Macaca fascicularis: one gene and its partners. The protein of the gene in region 1 interacts with the protein of each later gene in a biochemical or structural test. Links are inferred from orthologs where the notes say so. Each region holds a gene or a part of one and is shown in the gene's direction. Other genes may lie near its edges.

Evidence for each region. The genes of interacting proteins can lie anywhere in the genome.
Region 2: the proteins of LYN (region 1) and FASLG form a complex in vitro, tested with the Homo sapiens proteins (2 studies listed by BioGRID, with this or other methods). The link is inferred for Macaca fascicularis from reciprocal best matches to the Homo sapiens genes LYN and FASLG.
Region 3: the proteins of LYN (region 1) and KIT form a complex in vitro, tested with the Homo sapiens proteins (2 studies listed by BioGRID and IntAct, with this or other methods). The link is inferred for Macaca fascicularis from reciprocal best matches to the Homo sapiens genes LYN and KIT.

The regions. Positions count from the first base shown.
Region 1 is NC_088382.1:65,848,374-65,852,455, forward strand, and holds the start of LYN (tyrosine-protein kinase Lyn), read left to right. Parts: upstream 1-1,273; 5' UTR 1,274-1,276; coding exon 1,277-1,603; intron 1,604-4,082. UniProt on the Homo sapiens protein: Non-receptor tyrosine-protein kinase that transmits signals from cell surface receptors and plays an important role in the regulation of innate and adaptive immune responses, hematopoiesis, responses to growth factors and cytokines, integrin signaling, but also responses to DNA damage and genotoxic agents.
Region 2 is NC_088375.1:30,264,226-30,268,320, forward strand, and holds the start of FASLG (tumor necrosis factor ligand superfamily member 6), read left to right. Parts: upstream 1-1,287; 5' UTR 1,288-1,507; coding exon 1,508-1,852; intron 1,853-2,403; coding exon 2,404-2,449; intron 2,450-4,095. UniProt on the Homo sapiens protein: Cytokine that binds to TNFRSF6/FAS, a receptor that transduces the apoptotic signal into cells. Involved in cytotoxic T-cell-mediated apoptosis, natural killer cell-mediated apoptosis and in T-cell development.
Region 3 is NC_088379.1:79,244,418-79,248,536, reverse strand, and holds the start of KIT (mast/stem cell growth factor receptor Kit), read left to right. Parts: upstream 1-1,311; 5' UTR 1,312-1,369; coding exon 1,370-1,436; intron 1,437-4,119. UniProt on the Homo sapiens protein: Tyrosine-protein kinase that acts as a cell-surface receptor for the cytokine KITLG/SCF and plays an essential role in the regulation of cell survival and proliferation, hematopoiesis, stem cell maintenance, gametogenesis, mast cell development, migration and function, and in melanogenesis.

The DNA.
Region 1 (4,082 bases):
GTAGTGAATTATTCCATAGGATTCTTTTTTTTTTCTTTTTCTTTTTTTTTTTTTTTTTTTTTTTTTCATTTTTCCATTTTTCTCCATAGGATTCTTGACAGGTTTCAATCACACACCTTCCCATGGGTAACCCACCCCTTCTCTTCAGCAGTAAACTAACGACTACCTACCAGTGAACATCACAGGTATAAACCACCTTTCTTTTTTTCTTTTAAGGAATTAGTATGCAAACTTTAGTACTCCTTTCCTAGTAACAAATGACTGCTGTATCAGACTGTGTCACAAGGCAGCTGCTTTGACTTATTGCTCTGTAGCTGGGGCCAGCCTCTTCAGAACATTGTTAATGAGAGAAAGGAAGTGCTTTGGGCAGTGTCTGGCCCATCAGGCCCTCTGTAAATGTTTGCTATTAATGCAAAGACCAAGTCTCCCACAGTGTCCAATTTGTTTCCTTGTAAATTTTTCAAGGTACTGCAATGCTGGGATCCCAGTGAACATAATCTGGCGTAGAAGTGGGTATCCACTGACCGAGCCTAATCTTACATCTTGGATTTGTAAGTGGCATTTATTGAGTTGAACATGAGCTTAAGCACGCGGTCACACATTCTTTCAGCGAACACTGGTCAGGCACCTGCTACGTGCAAGCACTGCCCTACATGCTGGGATGCAGCTGTAGCAGGAATGAAATAACGCCAGCATTCCTGCATGCGGCCAGTGCGTGCCCTGTACAGAAAGGTACACGAGATAGGCATCCTTACATCCATTGTCCTGGGAGGAAACTGAGGCTTTGAGAAACGGAGAATCTGCCGGGCCCGTTGACTCCATGTCATCCCCTTCCACATCAATGCCCTGAACAGCCTCCTGTACACCCTTAAGGAACTTACTTCGTAATGATTACTAAGAACTCAACGAGACCCCGAGCATCACCTCGGCATATCGCGCGCGTCCTTTCTCTAGAGAACCCCAAATGTTGGAAGGCATCAGAGCGCACCTCCTCCGCTCCCGGGAGCACCCCCTTCCTGACACCTTGGGGATGGGTCGGAAGGAAAGGAAAGGAGACGCGAGAGGTATCGTCGATGTGCCTGCGAAGCCCAGGCTCCTCCGGAGATCGTTCCGTCCGTCCCTACAGTAGAAGGCTGGCCCAGGCTGTTCCACTCCCCGGAGCTGCCGACTGAGTCGCCAGGTTTCTGTGCCTTCAAAGCCCTGCGCGACGGCCACACCAAACACCCAAACCTTGGGCAGGGACCAAACGGTCACTTCCCCGCCCTCCGGGCTCAATATGCAAATCCGAGCACCAGGAAGTAGCTGGGACCTCTCGACCGAGCCCAGAGACAGCCAGTTCCTCTCCCGCCGCGCCGGGCCGCGCTGCCGCTCGCTCCCCGGCCGTGGCGCCTCCGGGCCCGACGCGCTGCAGCCTCCAGCCCGCGGCAAGCGGGGCGGCCGCGCCAACCCCGGCCCCGCGCCAGCAGCCCCTCGCCGCGCGTCCCGCGTTCCCGGCCAGCAGCCTCCCCCTACGCAGGTCCTGCTGGGCCGCCCCGTCGCGCCCCCTGCTCTGAACTCAAGTCACCGTGGAGCTCCGCCACCCCGAAACTTTCACCGCGAGCGGGTGAGTCCTCTGCGCGAACCCAAGTGTGGGCGCGGGCGCGCGGGCACGCGGGCCGGGGGTGCAGGGACCGCGGCTGTGCCACTAGCCAGAGTCCCGGGCGCAGGGTCGACTCGGGGCCAGGGGCATCGGCGCGGCCCGCGGCGGCTTCCTGGCCGCACAGCCTCCGGGCCTCGGCGGCGAAGGCTCTCAGATGTCTTCAGCCGGCGGGCGACCGGCCCCGGGGGAGCCAGGGTGCGGGGACCGAGGCTCCGCAGGTGTCAGCGGCTGAGCCGCGCAGGGGAGCGGTGGGAGGTGCGGGCGCGGGGGCGGGCTCACCGCGGGTCCTTCCCGGCGAGGGCCCGAGGGCCGGCTGCTGTCCCCGCTCCGGCCGCTCAGCGCGCACGGCGGCGAAGCCCGTGCCCTTGCGGAGCGGGCGCGCGGCAGGGATACTGGAGACAACTCCTCGGATTGTGCGATCTGGTCTCCCCTCTGGACCCTGGGTCCCCTGGAAGTGGGAGATGGGGCTCCGCCGGCGCCCTCTCGAGGCCCGCGGACAGCTGCCCTCCCTGGTGGCCCGGGGCAGGAGCGTGACGTCGAGGGTCTGCGGCGGAGGCTGGAGCTCACCCTCCCGCTGCGGCGCCTTTCGGCCTGCGGAGGAGCAGTCCGGTGCTTTTGCCGGCTGAGAGGAAGCGAGAGTTATTTTAAGAATTCAGGGGTTGCCTTTCCTTCGCCTTGGGGGAAGGGCGTAAGAGTCACTTCCCACTTTCCTGCTTTCTCTGGGCCCATGGTGGCATCTTTTGCTTGCGGTGCATTCGTAACTTTCCAACAGCCTGCCTGTCGTGTGAACTAGTGGTTGTATCTTCATTTCTTTGTATAACCGTGTGTGTTAATTATCCCAAATTCGCCCTTCTTCGCCGGCTCAGAATCCAGGCCTTGCACTTTTCTGGCTGTATATTTAGGGGACCGATTATTGAAATTCCCTGTTTGGGTTTCTTCATCTTTGAGAAAGCATATATACCTCAGGGACTGTTTAGTACACACAGAGCCCCTAGTACATACCAAACATTTCATAAACGATGTTACTGTTATTTATTGCAGTGACTTCTATTCATATAAACGAGGCTTCTTGGTTCTTTGCAGCCTGGTGATATTGAACCTAAGACTACCATGTCTGATTTAGCCATCTGACCTTATTAGTAAATCTGCTTAATAAATACATGAGGGATTTGCTGTCCCAAAGCAGGGCCCAGTAGTCTGACTTGCCCTAAAGAACTAGCCAATAAACTGGTGGGCTACAGGGATGTTTTCTCTCTACAGCCAACACCTAAAGCCATGCCCTGGGGAATAGGCACTGCAAGAGCCTAGACCTTACTAAGCCCTTCTCTGTAAGAGTAAGCTTTGTTGGGAAAGGGTGGGATCCAGTTAGTCCCTCCATTCTCATTTGGAGGTAAGCAGGTAAGTGCTTTCAGGCCTGAAGAAATTTCATTAGATCATAGAGTCTTTGGTGACTGGGTCTCTTTGGATGTAAATGTGTGGCCCTTTTGCTGAGTGAAGGATAGAGGGCAGCAGATGTAAGGGGAGAGAAAATAGGAGCGAGGAAACTTGGGTTTTGGCCTCTTCCATCATTTAATATGCTGTGATTTGGGATAAACCACTTGGGTCATTTATTTAGCCAACATTTCCTTTATAGCAGCAGTCAGAGTTATATTGATTTGTCTGCAGGTTGATAGTCTGTATTCACTATTACAGTGGAAGCTCCATGAAAACCGCTTCATCTGTCTTGTCCAAAATGATAGCCCCAGTGCCTGGTACATAGTAGGTGCTCAGTTCGAGATTAGTTGGAAGAAGGAATGAAGGGCTCCTGTGAGCTTGCCCTATGTAAAACTGAGGACATAGGGAGATGAAGAAATAGAGCTGGTCCCTAAAGTGTTTGAAGCCTACTGGCCCTTTCTGTTGTGGTTTCTAAAACGGGGATTTGAGAGGCTTTGTTGATTGTAAAGTTACCCAGCACTGAGTTATCCACATTTAGTGTTCTAAATGAGTCTCCACTCAGCACCGCTCTTCTCTACTTATCACTGGAAGAGAAGTCTTGATGTGGGGTGGTTAAGATGTTTCCTGCAAAGGTAGTTGGCCCAATCCAGAAGGCCCACATTATTTTAGAGTCATTGGTGTTACCAAGGTAGGTGGAAACTTTGTAATCCCGCCCCGGCCCCACCCCTCCAATAGCTTTCTTTTAGCAGAAAAGTGGTCCAGCACTGTTCAATGACTTTGAAAGCCTTTTACTTCTATCTGTAGTATTTGTTTTTAGAAATAAATCACCAAAAACAGCTGAGATTCCAGTTGGTTCACATGACTATGTGGAGTTGTAACTTAACAAAATTAAATCATATTATTCATGTACAAACCCATACTAACTTTATAAATAAGGATACAATGTATACATGCCCACAGCAGGGAACGTCGTTATAAGCTCACTCCTACTGATGATCTCAGTGATGCA
Region 2 (4,095 bases), on another chromosome or scaffold:
CTGGGCACCATGTATTTAATCTGGCAACCATAACAGGGACAGGACACAGAAATATCGGCAAGGACCAGGCAGGCCTTTCAGATGGTGAGGTGATGTGTGAGACACAGGCCGCTGGCGGAGGCTGGGTGACCCAGAACACCTGTCGCTCATTCTCAGGAGCAGCTGCTACCTACTTCCCACTGATTGGGTTTGCAGAGATGGCCTCGAGGGTGTCTGATATTCTGATATTGCAAAACAGAACAAAAATATGTATTTTAATGTGTATTTAAAATGTATATATATTAAAATATTTTTAATATTGATATTAAAAGTGGTCAATTGGGCTGAGTGCAGTGGCTCATGACTGTAATTCCAGCACTTTGGGAAACTGAGGTGGGAGGATGTCTTGAAGCTAGGAGTTTGAGACAAGCCTGGGCAACATAGCGAGTCCCCATCTCTACAAAAATAAATAAATAAATAAATTAGTCAGGTGTAGTGACTCATGCCTATAATCCCAGCTACTTAGGAGGCCAAGGCAAGAGGATTGCTTGAGCCCAGGAGTTTGAGGCTGCAGTTAACTATGATAGCACCACTCCACTCCAGCTTGGGTGACAGAGTGAGACTCTGTCTCTATTTAAATAAATACGTAAATAAATAAGCTGGGCAAACAATGAAAATGAAAACATTGTGAAATACAAAGCAGTTCTGTGGGTTCCACTGTTTGCAGCCTCTGATCTAATTTCTAAAGAGGGTGTAGCAGGTTTTTTAACCTGTAAATTATGGTGATTGGCAGGTCAGGGTAAATGGTAGTTGTGTGTGGGGAAGCGATGATGGCAACAGGTGTTTTCCTCCTGCAAAAACTAAAATGTGGGAGTGACTTCTCTGGCCATGGCTCCATGGTCTCTCCCCTCAGAGCCAATTTCAGTAAAATTTTTATAGTTTAAAAAATATGGTTCTGAACAATTTTTGTTAGAGGTATTTTGGTATTTTTAAATAGTTTTTTGGTCGTATACATGGTAGAATTCTTAACATTATACAATTATAATGTATAAAAAAGGATACAATTATAATTCATAAAATTATAGCCCCACTGGCCATTCTCCTGTAGCTGGGAGCAGTTCACGCCAACAGGGCTCTACCCCAATGCTGACCTGCTCTACAGGATCCCAGGAAGGTGAGCATAGCCTACCAACCTGTTTGGGTAGTACAGCGATAGCAACTGAGGCTTCCAAGGCTTTCGTCAGAAGATTGTGGGCGGAAACTTCCAGGGGTTTGCTCTGAGCTTCTTGAGGCTTCTCAGCTTCAGCTGCAAAGTGAGTGGGTGTTTCTTTGAGAAGCAGAATCAGAGAGAGACATAGAGAAAGAGAAAGACAGAGGTGTTTCCCTTAGCTATGGAAACTCTATAAGAGAGATCCAGCTTGCCTCCTCTTGAGCAGTCAGCAACAGGAGTCCTGTCCTTGACACCTCAGCCTCTACAGGATTGAGAAGTAAAACCGTTTGCTGGGGCTGGCCTGACTCACCGGCTGCCATGCAGCAGCCCTTCAATTACCCATATCCCCAGATCTACTGGGTGGACAGCAGTGCCAGCTCTCCCTGGGCCCCTCCAGGCACAGTTCTTCCCTGTCCAACCTCTGTGCCCAGAAGGCCTGGTCAAAGGAGGCCACCACCACCGCCGCCACCGCCGCCACTACCACCTCCACCGCCATCACCACTGCCTCCACTACCGCTGCCACCCTTGAAGAAGAGGGGAAACCACAGCACAGGCCTTTGTCTCCTTGTGATGTTTTTCATGGTTCTGGTTGCCTTGGTAGGATTGGGACTGGGGATGTTTCAGCTCTTCCACTTACAGAAAGAGCTGGCAGAACTCCGAGAGGTAAGCCTGCTGGCAGACTGCTGTGCCCTGGAGGCACCAGGCATAAGGGGGTGGAGGGCCCACTGCCTGGCTTGCAAAGTGCTTTTCAATCCTTTTTTTTTTTTCTTAGAAATGGGTTGTTCTAGTTATTCTATTCTATAGGCAGAGAAATGGAGGCTCATAGGAGTGAAGGGAATATTTTTTATTTTGTAAAGAATCAGAGCCCAACAGTTTTTCTTTCCTCAGTTGTCAACTCAGTCTGTTGAACCACTTACTGCCTCATACCTAGTGATTTAAGGAGTAAAAAACAAACAAAACTTTTAAGTTTTGCTTGGAAGTAAATTTGTTCAGATGACCAAACTAAATCTTGAAAATACTTAAAATACTGGTACGATTTCAAATCACAAAACTGAGGGACAGTGAAGCAAAATTGCTTGACCAAAGCCTGAGTCAGCAAAAGTTCTGAGGTATTTGGATTCTCTTTCCAGGGCTTGGTTTATTTGACGATTCTGTCTCTTTTGCTTAAATAATTTTATTTTTATTATGCATCTTTTTTCTTTCTCTTTTACTAGTCTACCAGCCAGAAGCATACAGCATCATCTTTGGAGAAGCAAATAGGTGAGTCCTTTTTCACATGTACATTGAGTTCCTAAAGGTGATCCTCAGCACTGAAATATGTTAATGGAATGCCTTATATTCTGTCCTACACTTTGGCTTATGTATACTATGAGAGGAATCCTGGCTAATTCGGAATCTCTGGTCAGTATGATTCCTTGAGCTGCTTTAAAAATGTGAAGTGAATTGAATTGCTCACAATCAATATAGCTGAGCACGGCACACAATTCAAAATCACTTCCGCTTGACTTTGGAAAGAGACACACATATACAACCGTGGACTTTTGCCCCCTGAGCAGTGGTTCCAGGCCTGTCCCCTTCCACAGACACCCTGGTCCTGGCACACATGCCAGTGGCTATGACTTCTGGGAAGAGAAGGCGAAGTGAAGGCAGAGACAGATGTTTCTGAGAAACGTCCTCTCCTCTTTTAAAGCCTCTAAAGAGATCACAGTGAAACTTTATTTATAAAATGTTTTATAGGATGTAAGCTTTTAAAATGTGGCTAATCAATTCCGTACATTAGAATGGTTTTTCTTGAAGTCACTGAGAAGCTGAAGGGAAGACTTCAGCCATCATTCAAAGGATGTTCAGCTTCAGAGGCAGTCATGAGGTACCCTTGATCACAAAGGAAAATCCTTTGTATGGGAGCTAGGGCAAGAAGACGATATGTTGGAACACTGATCTCGTGAAATTTCAGGGCATAGTTTTGCAAGCTCTGTACAGATGGATTTTACAATGTGCTTCACTAGCCTAAGATTCATTGAAATTTTAGATTTAGATTTACAATGAGATTCACTGAAGGTTTAGAGTTGGAAGGAAGCTTAGAATATCTAGTCCAGCCATTTCATTTTTTTGGAAGAGAAACAAAATGCCAGACAGATTAGGTGAATATGCCCAAGACCCCTAGTATGGAACTGGGGCTAGAAGGAACACAGGCTCTTGATGCCTTGTCACCTACAGGGCTTTCCGGTACTGGACTGGTGCCTCATGAAGTAGGGAAACTCCTGTCTCTCTGTAGTGAGCATGGAGTGAGAAATAGAGGAAAAGCAGGATACCTCTGCAAAGACTATAGATAGATCGCATCCTTAGAAACTCAGAATAAAGAAGAAGGCAGCACTGGCCATCTATTAAGTGAAGTAAGTTTCAGTTTCTCTGGATGTGGCTACTGCAGGCAACCCAGTCGCCTGTCTACTGTCCTAGACTGTTAAGTTCTTATAGGAGCCACTGTTGGGAAGCTCTGGCCCCTGAGTCTGTGTCCTAATCCTTAAATGTTAGAAAGTCCATATGTACACAAGCAGAGTGGAAATATTTGCTAGAAAAATAAAGCCTCTGGAGGATGTCTCAAATAAGATCATTTTGAAAACCTGTGGAATGTGCCTGGTCTGATAGGTACCTAAGCATTCATCTTTTACCTCCTCTCTGGAGTCAATTTAGTGATTAAAAATCAAATGACCAGACGAGTCATGTCCATCTACCCCAGTAAGCAATTATCTTCTCTAGATCAACCCAGATGAACCAGAAATTGTTAAATTATCACAAGGAAATCAAATCAGTAACTTTACTAATAAGAAAAGAGATGCAAACTAAAAATAGGGAACACCAATTTTCATCAAATTAGTAAAGTTAACAAAAACCCAGACTGACAAAGA
Region 3 (4,119 bases), on another chromosome or scaffold:
ATTAAATGGAGTGGGGCAGCTGGGCAACTATAAATTTTGGATGATACTTCAGAGAAGAGTCTAGGTGTATCTGTTCTATCCCTTTTTCTCATGGGCATCTGCCACTTATTTTCCATTCTTAAGCTCTCAGGAGGGATGTCTTTTTAGTTTATCAGAATCCATAGGGAAAGCTCATCTTTCTTGGAGTAGGTCTTCAAATAAGGGTTCAAGCCCTGGGTCTTCCCTCACTACAATAATAAACATACCTGCTCTACCCTCCTCACAAAGCTGTTATGGTGAGCATGAAAAGAAGAGTCGGTGTGGGGAAGAACTATTAACCCCTATACAGATACCGTGTTGCTTTCCGTTCAAGGATCCACCATGAGACTGTGGATAAAGCACTTTCCGGGCAGTGAAATCTGGCTTAAGAGAATCATTGTACTTTTATTCTGCTCCTGGGACCGGCAAGGGCAGTTAAGAGGGACACAGGGATCCCTAGCCCTAAAACTGTCGTCTGATACAGAGGCAGATAAATCATTACTGGGGTTGGCAGCGTTGGGGGGAGAGGGGGAAATGTGTATGAAAACCTGGGCTCCCAGAGCAAACTTTGCAACGCGCCCCTCCCCACTTCACCGCCCCAATCTCCACACAAGTCCCGGCAGGGGCTTCTTGGGCGGAGGCCACGCCGACCAATAGGAACCCACTGTATTCTTACAGGTTACGAAGCAGGTGGAGAAACTGAGCAGAAACAATTAGCTAAGCCGGGCTCAGCCTTTACCGCGGTGCCACGCGCTCCTAACAGGCCTGGAGGGTAATGTCGGGGCTCAATTTCCTAACGCTCCCCTCCCCATCCCCGTGTCACCTCCACCAGCAGCGGCGTCCAGCCTCCTCCCGCCCGAACGTGCTCGAGGGACGGGCAGCCGTCCTTTATTGTCTGGGGAGCACCTGGCAGGTGGCGGGCCCGTGCCCTAACGTGCGCGTGGTGCCCAGCTTCACAAAGCGAGCGGGCAGCACCTCTTTGGTCCGGGAACGGCCTCGGGCGGGCCGACCACATCCCAGGGGTGGAGAGGTGGAGAGAGAAAGGGGCTCCGGGGTCAAGAGCTGGGAGCTAGGGCGCGCGCGCGCCCTCCTCCTCCCCGCGGGCACAGCCCCCCGGCATTAACACGTCGAAAGAGCAGGGGCCAGACGCCGCCGGGAAGGAGCGAGACCCGGGCGGGCGCGAGGGAGGGGAGGCGAGGAGGGGCGTGGCCGGCGCGCAGAGGGAGGGCGCTGGGAGGAGGGGCTGCTGCTCGGCGCTCACGGCTCTGGGGGCTCGGCTTTGCCGCGCTCGCTGCACTTGGGCGAGAGCTGGAACGTGGACCAGAGCTCGGATCCCAGCGCAGCCACCGCGATGAGAGGCGCTCGCGGCGCCTGGGATTTTCTCTGCGTTCTGCTCTTCCTGCTCCACGTCCAGACAGGTGGGTCACCGCGGCTGGCACCCCGACCGTGCGACTCCTCGGCGAAGCCTGTGCCCGGGAGGGTGGTACACGCCGGAGTGCATCCGGAGAGAGGACTGCGGGCCCTCAGTGCCTGTGCGTTCCAGTCTCCGGGGGAGACTCCAGGTGTCCCTCGGACTCTCCTGCGCCTTGCCTCGCTCACCTGCGCGAGGAGACCCCAGCTGCTAGTGGTGGGGACGCGAAGCCGGGGTTCCTCGGGAATGGGGACAGCGAGGGGAGGTTAGGCGTGAGCGAGGTTGCAGGCTGCGTGCGAGTTTGGGGTGGCTTTTGTGCCGAGGTTGCGCGGGGGGCGGAGGCGAGGGGCTCAGGGGTTCCCACCGAGCGCCTTCTCTCGCTGTGCGAGGCGCGGCCGCAGCTTCCTTTTGTTAAAAGTTGCGTGTGTGTGACCGGTGCCCAGGAGGACCTGCCTGCAGGTTCTCCGCCGCGCGGAGGGCAAAGTTAGAGAGCCCTTTCTCTCCTCTGCGGCTGCTGCCTTCCAACCGCAGGCGCTCTTTGTGCCCAGAGCTGGGGACCGACCCGCTGCCGCCTCTGCTCACGGCGCCACCCGTGGAGACGAATCGAAGCCTGCGGATTTCCCCGCCTCCGGGTTAGGGTTTTGCTCTGGGAGTGCGCGGCGTGTGGCTGTGGGGCCGGACTCCCGCGAGCCTGGAGGTGGTGTGTACGGGGACAACTTGGGCAGGGCGTGTGGAAAGCAGCCGCTAGGTTGCAGACTTTTTGCTTTCGTATATCCTGTGCTCGTCCCTTTCGGCCGCGGCGCCGTTTCATTCCTGCCACGCGCCCCGGGGCGGCTGGAGGCTGCGTTTGCCGCCTGCTCCGGGAAGGCAAGGGACAGCGTGCTGGGACTATGCGTGCCCTGATCCCGGCTGCCTAGCACGCCGGCCAGTGTGCCCGGCCTGCCTGGCGGGCTCTGGAAGCCCGTAGTCCCGGTATCTGCGACCTGTATTCGCAGGTCCTGTTTTCTTCGGAAATTTTTGAGATTAGTGACCGCCCGCCTCCCTGTCCCCGGGGAGGGGACATCTATACTTCAGGGCTGCCTGGGGGTGGGGTGGGAGATGGAGTGGAACTTTCTGCAAATCCTACTCAGTTCTTAAAGCTATAACAAAAAACCAGATATATCCGCGCGGGAACTTGGGTCTTAGGTGAAGGATTTGCCGGCTGCTGGAGCCCCTCGGTCAGATTTCTGCCTCTCGTTCCCTTTTTTCCAGGTGTCGCTGGTGCGCGCGAGTGCAGGTCGCCCAGCTCACTCCTGAAGCACTGCTCTCTCCCAGGTCATTTTTAAAACAAACCTTTAAGGTTACCTTGATGGTGTAAGGATAGAAAGTGAGTCTTAGCTGGAATCAAGCGCTTGAAAGGAAGCGGCGCAATGAACGGTTGTGAGACTGTCTACTACTGGTCAGTTTCTCTATAAAGTCTCCAGGCGCAGTCTCCCGCGTCCTGGTCTTGTAACTATTGTGAGGGCTTTCCTGTGGGGGCAGAGAGGCCTTGCATCTGGACCCCTGTGCAGCAGGAGGGGTCAGCAGGGGTCACGAGGGAGTGTTCAGATTCCCTGGAGGATTTGATCACCTAGCTTAAAACAACACATCTGGTCTTTATGTTTTTGTGCCTTGACCTTTTTAATATCAGTTAAGGTATGTGAACTAGACCCCAGTAGGAGACTAGAAAGACCACATCGAATATCTCCCTTTTACAAAATTAAAAGAATCAATGGTTTTCTTCTTCCCAAAAGATTTTTGGCAAAGGGAATTTTAAGTCTGTCTCCTGGGGGGGCAGTGTGGTGTAACGACAAAGCCTTGATCTGTCCCCTGGGTTCTCCTTTTCTCTGCCATTTCTTGGCTGCGTGCCCTTGGGCAGGTTGCTTAAGGCAGGTTGCTTAAATTCTGGGGAACCCAGTGTCCTCCAGAGTACAAGGAGGCATCTGCATCATGAAGGATCCTTTGGGTCCAGAATTTTCCAATGTGCTGAGTGTAGACTCAGCACTCTTTTCAACTATTCCCCTGGTCCCTGTCTGCCACCTTGAAATTCCTCTGCCTCTCCTGCTCACGGGGACCTCATGGAGTATGGGTGCATCTGACCGTCTGCCCCTGGCTGCAGCAAGGAGCTGTGGCTTATGCTTCCCACCCCTCAATTCCCATATATTTCTCTGTATTGCCCTTTGAGGGCTAGGAGGTGCCCACTTTGTCCTAACCGTCATTCTTCTCCCCCACCACCACCCCATTATTACAGCTCCTGTGCCTAACAGGATGAAGCTGCAAGGAATGGTGAATCATACCTTCCCCGCTTCATTCCTGCAGGTGTGAGGCTGGAGTCATTCTCAGCAGCTGGACGCAAGGCAGTCTAAATTATTTTCCTGCTGGAAATATCCCAAATAAATATCCCAGATAATTCATTTATCCCTATTCTGTTTTTTCCCCCACTCATCCCCATATTTTTTCCTCATGACTCTCTAAATCATGTATGCTGTGCATTTATAACATGCTTTCTAATGGGCCTTAAATTTTGTATGACATGTGTGTTATACATAGTTGTTGCTCTTCAGTTGGAAACTGTGTGCCAGGCCTGTTGCTTGGGGCTTTACCTGCTATTTCCGCTAGTCTCAATGAGCCTAGGAAGTAGTATTATTATTACCCCTAACATTTTACAGCTG